2 linked regions of the Oryza sativa Japonica Group genome follow. The protein of the gene in region 1 interacts with the protein of each later gene in a pairwise test. Links are inferred from orthologs where the notes say so. Each region holds a gene or a part of one and is shown on either strand. Other genes may lie near its edges.

Region 1 (4,163 bases):
CCCATATCAAGAATATACAATACAATGTTTACAACTTTAAGACCCTCAAAGGTAGCAATCCTTATAATTCAGCTGCATCATGAACCTTGCTATTCCACATCGCATACCGAGGTTCTCTAATTCATCATTGAAGATTGCTTCATTCCTGGTTGTTCGAAAATTTAATAAAAATCCATAATCTTCTAACCTTGAGAAAGTGTGAAAAGATGCAGCAAAGGATGTATTATTTTTTTCCAAATGGCCAATTATTTTTTTTCCCGAGGGAACTATTGGCCAATTCGTCGTGAAATGCTCTAATATACTACCCACCAGAGGATAATAAAACAATAAAGTATTTAATCACCAAAGAACTGAAAATAAAACACCCAATCTATTAACCACCCAGAGCTAAAATATCCCAGAATTTTGTCAACCGAGACAGTTACTACCCACAATTCAAATAGTGAGAAATTGGACATTCTGCCACTGCTAAAAGAGGATTTCACTCAAATGCCACTCTACGGATTGGATTCGTTAAAAAGCCACTTCCAACCGATGCTAAACCGCCACCAGTGTACTTAAGGCGACAAGGTGAGGCAAGGCGACCCACCCCTACTCAATTGCCTAGGCAACGCCTTAAGAGTTTAAGGCAAGGGTAAGGCGACGCCTTAAACACAAGCACAAGAGGCATACTAGAGATATATGAGGCAAAAAAGAGAGGAAGAACATGAAGGGGCGAGGAAGAGCAGGGAGACAGATCCATTGGAGAAGAAGGGAGCAGCAAGAGGGAGACAACCATCTTCTCTTTCCAATCTCTGCCCACCCTATTATCTATTCGCTTTCCATCTTTCACCCTTCCCTCTCCCTAAATTGGCGCACCCCTATTCTCTATTCTCTTTCCATCTTTCACTCTTCCCTCCCTAAATTGCTGCACACGCGATTTCCATCATATCTTCACGCGATTTCCTTCCCAGCATGTGTAATTCCCTACAGCGCATGCGCCCTTGACCCCCACCTTGCCCGTGTCTACCTGATTTCACGAGATATTAGGATCCAAGACGTGTAGAAGGGTAGGCAGTGGGGACGCTCTGCTCCCTGATGGCGCTCAGACGCCTAGGCAACGCTTAAGCGACGCTTTTAAAACCATGACCGCCGCTTTGCCATATTCGCCATTTCATAGGATTTCCACCATTTTCAGCCATTGGTCTGACCAAAATACCCCTTCGGTGATAGGCGCCAGCAATGGGCAGCGACCACTACCAAACGTTGGGGCTGCGGCGGGACGCCACCACGGCCGAGGTGAAGGCCACCTTCTGCCGCGGTGCACTCCATGACCAGCCGGACCGCCACGCCCACTCCCCCGACGCAGCCATGCGCGCCACTTTCGCCTCGCCTCCGACGCGTACAGGCCTACAGGGTCCACTCCGACGACCACCTCCACGCTGATTATGACCTCCGCCTTCGCTCGTCCTCCTCTTCCTCCTACAGCCATGCCACCACCTCCTCCTCCTCCTCCTCCTCATCGGCCTCATATGGGTATGGCTACGGCCACAGACGTGGCGGTGGTTCCTAGCGTCGATCACCTCTGGGTGGAGAGGATGTTGCCTCGGCCTGATTCTATTAGGACTTGTTGCTGAAGTCGGTCACGCGGTGCGGGTTCCTCATCAATCTGGGTTTCACCAGGTAAAGCTGCCCAAATGCGTTGATGCTTTTCTTGCTTGCTTTGGTTGATTTGATATGCTGCATATGATTGTCCTGCTGATCCGTCATATTGCTAGCTTTTCTTGAGGGAATCATTGTGGAAAAAAGAATTGCAAAGTTCATGAATAATACTCCCTCCGTTTCAGGTTATAAGACGTTTTGACTTTGGTCAAAGTCAAACTGCTTTAAGTTTGACTAAGTTTGTTGAAAAAATAATAACATTTTCAACCCAAGACAAATTTATTATGAAAATATATTCAATTATTGATTTACTAAAACTAATTTGGTATTATAAATATTACTATATTTATCTATAAACTTAGTTAAACTTAAAGTAGTTTGACTTTAAGTAGTACAACATACGATGTCCATGTATGTGTGACCGACATCAAACCGCAGCCCGAAGGGTATTTTGGTCAGGCCAAGTGCGAAAAATGGTGGAATTCCTGTGAAATGGCAAATATGGCAAAACAGCGGTTTGACATCGGCCGGTTGGAAGTGGCTTTTTAACTAATCCAATCCAGGGAGTGACATTTGAGCCAAACCCTGTTTTGGCAACGGCAGAATGTCCAATTTCTCTCAAATAGTAGAGGACCATCTACCAAATAAATAACAGTAAAAGAAAAAAAAACCCGTACCAGCTTGAGCATCTCCTGGAGCACGGAGGCGACCTGCTCGCCGCCGCGGAGAAGGGCGTCGCACTCGGCCGGGTCCCATTTGGAAGGGTCGTCCCCTAGTGAAGCCGGTGAGGCGATGGGGACGGGTACCTTGGGCGGCGCGGCGAGGCAGATGACGGTGGGACGGGAGGGGACCCGCGGGTGGAGGAGGCGGGCAACTGGCCTGCCGATGCCGGAGGAGGTGGCGGACAAGGCGGAGGTAAGAGAGTGGGAAATCGAGAGGGGCAGAATCGCCATGGGTTCGCTGCAGATTTCTTCTCTTTGTCCCGCCCAGCCCTTGCTCCGGCGGGCGAACTCCCTAGCCGCCGCGCAGAGTCCCCGGCGTCGACGAGCTCTGATGTCGCCGGGGTGCGCGCTCCTCTTGCTCGCGCCGCGCTCGTTGAGAGATAGAGAGAAGAAAGAGGTAGCGCCACTACTGCCCAAGATAAGAGGAGATTGAGAGATTTGAGAGGGCCATAGCGGCTGTGGTTTTTTTTCTCTTTTTCCTATTCGACTCCCATGTGTGGGCTGGGCCGTGGGAATGCGGAACGGGATGGTCAGTACAGGGAATAAGTCCATTTCGCCTCTCTCGTGTCTTGTTCCTGATTGAATCGCCTCCCTCGACTGTAAAACCGGTTTGAGCAAGTTTAATAGTATAGCCAACTACTAGCTTTAAATCTATATAGCCAACTACTAGCTTCGAATCACCTATAACCAATTTATACAATAGTTGTTTACTATACTATTAATAACTGGTCCCACCTATCATACATACATTACGTCTTGGAGTCCGTGCTGCAGCTGGCTACAGATCTGTAGCCCGCTGCTCTTCTCTCTCTTGCTTTATCTCTTTAAAATATGTTTATAGCTGGCTTATAGCCTACTATTGTACCTGCTCTTATAGCACCTTATCCATCTTTAAAAACCGATGCGAAAAGACTCCTTCCGTGGTTCGGGAAACGGTTTTTGCTGACGAGAGCAGGTGCACTCACATGTTGATGAGGACACAACTAGCTCGGATATAACCAAGACTACCTTATGTATTAATCAACCAAAGGTGCATATGTTCTACGTTAGATTTACTTGTTATATATTTGAACAAACATTACTACATAATGAGTTTCGTATGTTTTTGTTTACAGAGGTACTTGTTTGGGCGAAAGAAAAGAGACCGAGCGTAAGGAATGCATGGATAATTGAAGAAGTTGATTGGGGACCAAACCAAGACCTTCTCCAAGTCTTCTTTCATCTCACCACGTCACTTTTGGTCCACAGAAGACAAGAGATAAAGTTCTACATGTTTTGGATTTGGATTCGGGCCTCCTGACAGCATCAACTTCAAACGGATCTAGCCGCACTGTTCTAGAAGGAATTTTGGGGCCCATGAATACTTGTTGGAAAGCATATGGAGTCTACTTCAGATGGATTTGGTCCCACGTCAAAATTCCTACCAAGTTGCTGGGAAACTGCAAAACAAGCCACATATCTCATCCAGTCCGAATCTGATTTGTGTTTTGGGCCTTGTAATAGTGTTGTGGGCTTAGCCTAAGGGGGTGTGCGCCCTAGGGCAACCCTAGGACGTCCTTAATCATATTTATTCAATAGCCTTCATCGTTTAGAGTCGGGTTTTGCTTAGATTATTCTGTCAAGAACAGTTTCGCCGCTAGATCGGTTTGTGAAACCCCAAATCCGAGTGCTTAATCATTCATATGCAATTTGGTTGCAATCTATCTTGTTCTTGCTTGTGTTTTTCGATTCGCATGCAGGGATTAGCCTTCTCGGCGAGGTCAACCGGGTTTCGGCACAGATGATAACCAGAGGAGACGT
Region 2 (4,255 bases), on another chromosome or scaffold:
TAAGTGTGTAAGCATGAACTTTGCAAACAGAAAAGATCAAATCTTCAGTTCAGAAGAAAGAAACGACACACTGCAGATCAGGAATGGCTTGGCATGGTTTCTAGTTGTGCTAATCTAGTCAAACAACCAGTCAACCACAACCAGTTTAAATGCAAATGTTGATACAGAGTAAAGTGATTACCGTCTGGAGGGAGCAAGAAACTGGCCAGAACAGAAGCTAGGGCTGTGATAGTGTAAAGTTAGTTGCTTTATTCATTGCAGCATTTATATGTTTCAGTTTGGGGTGTCAAAAGCAGGGGAGTTAATTTATTTGTTCAGTGATCCATAACTGTGACCTGCACACTCTACACATCCTACTTACTACCACAGTACCACAGATAAAGCTTATACATGCTCCTCTACAACAACATTGGTACTAAATTTGTGCAAGATTATTCCTTTGACATTATACAGTTAACTACTCGTTCAGATAACAGTTAAAGCACAGAAAATGACAGAGAGAGAAAAAAAAAAGAGAAGGCTGAATTGCTCCAATTGGTTCTTTGGAGGTTGCAAGGGCCAACCGACCATAAACACTATTGGTAAGTAAGAGCATTGTTAAGCACCCATGATTCATCCAGCTATTACTATCAACATACAGACAAATTCACAGATGTCAGGACAAGTTGTGGGCACAATTCTTGTGAGAGGAAATAATAAGGCTACCACTGTTTTCTCGCAAGCTTGTCTTCCATCTTTAGCAGTGTCACCATCTGGCATTAATTGGGAGCTGATCAATGGGGAGATAATCTGCCAAAACACCTACCTAATACCCTCAAGAAGGCTACAAAATAAGGGAATGTGCAAGAGGCAGAAGCAAATCCAAAGTAAAAGTGATGATTCTAGGACCATTTGGAGCCCCCACTGGTTGCCTACTAATGACGAATTAAAGCTATGGCCAGGGCTAATTGCGCACGAGATGGAATTTTGATTTGGACAATAAGGGTTAGTTGGTTAGGTGTCTCGAGCAAATTTGACAAATCGAAAACCAATTTAATTTGCAATAAATTCACTCTATTTAATATGGCACCTCTTTAGTTTTCACCTAATTGTAATGAAGGACTCATGAGAGAGAAATGCAATAAAATCTGCAAGAATTTCACCTAGAACATCTTCTGAATTCTTGCAAGCAATATGCTTTTGATTTTATTTTTTTTAAGTTGAGACAAAACAGTTGTTTCTAAAAAAAAGTATTTATAAAAGGGATTTATAGGAAACTTAGGATTCCTCAAGAGTGGTCTTGTGCCATCCATTTCATCTAGAAATTCAAGCATTAACCAAGAAGAAACAAAATGAAAGAATGTTGAAAGCATGGTAGTAGGCCAAAGAAATCAATGTGTTGTTGTTTGTTGATCTGATTGGATTGGACCGTTGTATCCTCCTTGGCTAGATGTTACTACCACAGTAGTAGTACTGACAAATTGAAAGCAGTGTGGGGGTATACTATACTATACTACTCCTATACCACAAGTATACTGAAACATGGATCTGTGTTGCTGGGTGTTACTATCTTTCAGGTAACTAATATAGCAAGTTCTCAATTACTGACCATTTTGTTTTTTTTTCCTTAGGTGGTAATTTTCATGGAAGTGAATGTTCCAAGGGATATGGGCTGAGAAGCAGGTAAAAACAATCATGAAGTAATCAAAGGAGGAATGATGAAGAAGAAATGGCATCTCTGGAAAATCTGTACTGAAGAAGTTACTTTGTTTACCTCTCTTGAGTAGGAGGAAACAATCCATAAACCCCCAAAAGTACTCTGGATAATAGCATATTTCAACTAATTATAAAAAAGAAACATTTGAAGAGGAAAAAAAACAGAATCAAATCTTCATATCTGGGAGCAGACTAGCAGTAAGTAGAATCCCCCTAAATACATTATTGGACCATACAACAATCAGTACAATAATGCTGCCATTGAAGATTCAAGAACTAGGTAGATGTTTCAATCAAGAACACAAATTTCACCCACTAACCACAATCCATACAAAATCCACAAAAGTAGTTTCACTCACCATATCAGAGGCAACATTTAACCCCAACCTAGCAGATTATCTATCCATACTAACTAAATCCCAACTGGTGAATCAAAAGAAAGAACTAAGCAAACTGACAATCAATCCTTACCCTGAGAGCACATCCTCTACCAACTTCCCTACAAGACAAGAAATCTAACAGAAAGATCTATTGCAGAAAAACAGACTAGCAGATATAGGAGAGACAAAATCTGACCAAAAACACCCAACATGTAGAGCCATACAGACCAAGAAACATGAACACAAAAAACATAGTAACAAAGCAACCCACAGAACAGCTTTCTTCAGAGCACAACACACATGGCACCTGCTGCATTACATCATAAGCTCTACACTACTGAAACTGCTCAAGAAACTGAAGGTAGTAGGATTCACTTACAGAAACGCCACTGCACCATCCTGCTGCTCTGTTCTTGGACCTCCCTGGAGCTCAAAACCCCAAATGATTTTAAGAACAAGAACAAGAAGAAGAAGAAGTCCCAAGAACACGAGCAGTGGTTAGTACTAGCAGTAGTAGTACCTAGCTAGAGAAAGGCAAGGACAGTGAGATGTGAGCTGAAAGATTCTTGTGAGCCTCCCACTGAGAGAGAGAAATACAGAGAAGACTCTCTGTATATGGAGGCAGTGGTGAGCAAGCTCAAGTAAAGGAGGTGGGGGACAAGGAGCAGCGAGAAATTAGGGCACGCGAGGGTGGTGGTGGTGGAAAAGACGGGAGGAGGAGAGGAAAAGGGCTGGGTGGAAAGGAGAGGCCTCTGTATTTATAGACAGAGAAAGAAACAAAGAAGCAGAGAAAGAAAGAGATGGAGAGAGCTAGACTAGTCACTGCAGCTGCAGCAGCTGCAGCAAACAGTGCATGCATTGCAATGCAATGCAATGCAAAGAAAGCACCATGGCCACACCCACACATACAGCTGCTGCTGCTGCTGCTGCTAAGCTTGAATGCACATGGACTCATGGAGATGGAGATGCTGGAGATGTGCATGGTGCATTGGTGCCATGGTCCATGCAGCAATGGATGTGAGGTGAGAGGTGAAGGCTTTGCATTTGCTTTTGCTTCTCTTGGAGATGACTGACTTCACTTCACAGTGTGGGTGTGATCAGAGATGGCACTGTTGGAGAGGGAGATGGGAGGCAAATGAATATCAATATCAAATATAATTTTCTGAATGTTTGTATATGCATTTTCTTGCAGCATGCATGCATGCATGGACAGGGGAGATGATCCATACTCTAGGTGAGTCCAGATGAGATGAGATGGTTGCCTCTTGTTGCCAATTTTTATTTCTTTACACTGTGCTGGTACAATGGCCGTGCATGGATGAGCCATCATCTGCATTATTTTTTTTGCTGCTGCTGTAGCACAAAACTGTGCTAGGAATTTTCTTGAGAAGATGCATGGTGAAATGGAATCTACTCCCACCAATCTGGCTGCCACCCAGCCCAGATCACAGTACAATGTTTGTAAAAAAATCTCCAATTCTCCACTGCTCAACAAGCCAGATGCATGAGAGTCGTCGTCCGATCGCAATCCAACGGCTTAGTAGTAAAACCATGTAAAATTTTATATCCTCTCATCGTCTACATGTTAACTTACTGAGCTTAGCCAAAATTTGAATTTAAAAGGTTATATTTTAAGTTGATTTTAAGATTTTTTTTCTTCTTAATCTATTTTCTAGTATCGTCTTTCAAAATCGCTAATAACACTAATATAGAAGTTTGAACATAAATTATTTTTGTCTGATTCATTCATAGTAGTCAATGAAGACTGAGACTTAATTGATTGTATTAAAATAATACTACATTTCACATGAAAACTCCTCCCTCCATTCTAAAATACAACGATTTATAGGTTGTTTAGCAAATACTAAATTTAGGTCCAAATATTCCCTTTTAATCACTTCGGTTATCAATTTTTAAATTTTGAATTGTTTGAATTTCACTTTCAATCATCTGATTGGCTTTGGAATCATTAAAATGATTGTAATCATGAGAATCAGTTTTGGAATGCTTACATTTAATATAAAATTTGAATCCTAAAAATCTTTACGTTTTAAAAGTGAGGGGAATAATAAATAAGCCTTTTTCTTTTGAGAGAGAAATAAAGAAAGAGTCTCATCGTTTGCTCATATCCTCTAATATATCAAAACGGCTTAATAGTAAATAAAAATAAATTTATAGGT

What was found.
Region 2: the proteins of protein PEP-RELATED DEVELOPMENT ARRESTED 1 homolog, chloroplastic (region 1) and protein rough sheath 2 homolog interact in binary tests that used the Arabidopsis thaliana proteins (3 or more experiments, as listed by UniProt). The link is inferred for Oryza sativa Japonica Group from reciprocal best matches to the Arabidopsis thaliana genes AT5G48470 and AS1.

What each region holds. Positions count from the first base shown.
Region 1 is NC_089045.1:15,317,704-15,321,866, forward strand, and holds the start of protein PEP-RELATED DEVELOPMENT ARRESTED 1 homolog, chloroplastic, read right to left. Parts: upstream 2,806-4,163; 5' UTR 2,595-2,805; coding exon 2,319-2,594; intron 1-2,318. UniProt on the Arabidopsis thaliana protein: Plays an essential role in early steps of chloroplast development. May be involved in the redox control of plastid gene expression by maintening the redox state around chloroplast nucleoids.
Region 2 is NC_089046.1:24,247,896-24,252,150, forward strand, and holds the start of protein rough sheath 2 homolog, read right to left. Parts: upstream 2,805-4,255; 5' UTR 2,455-2,804; intron 1-2,454.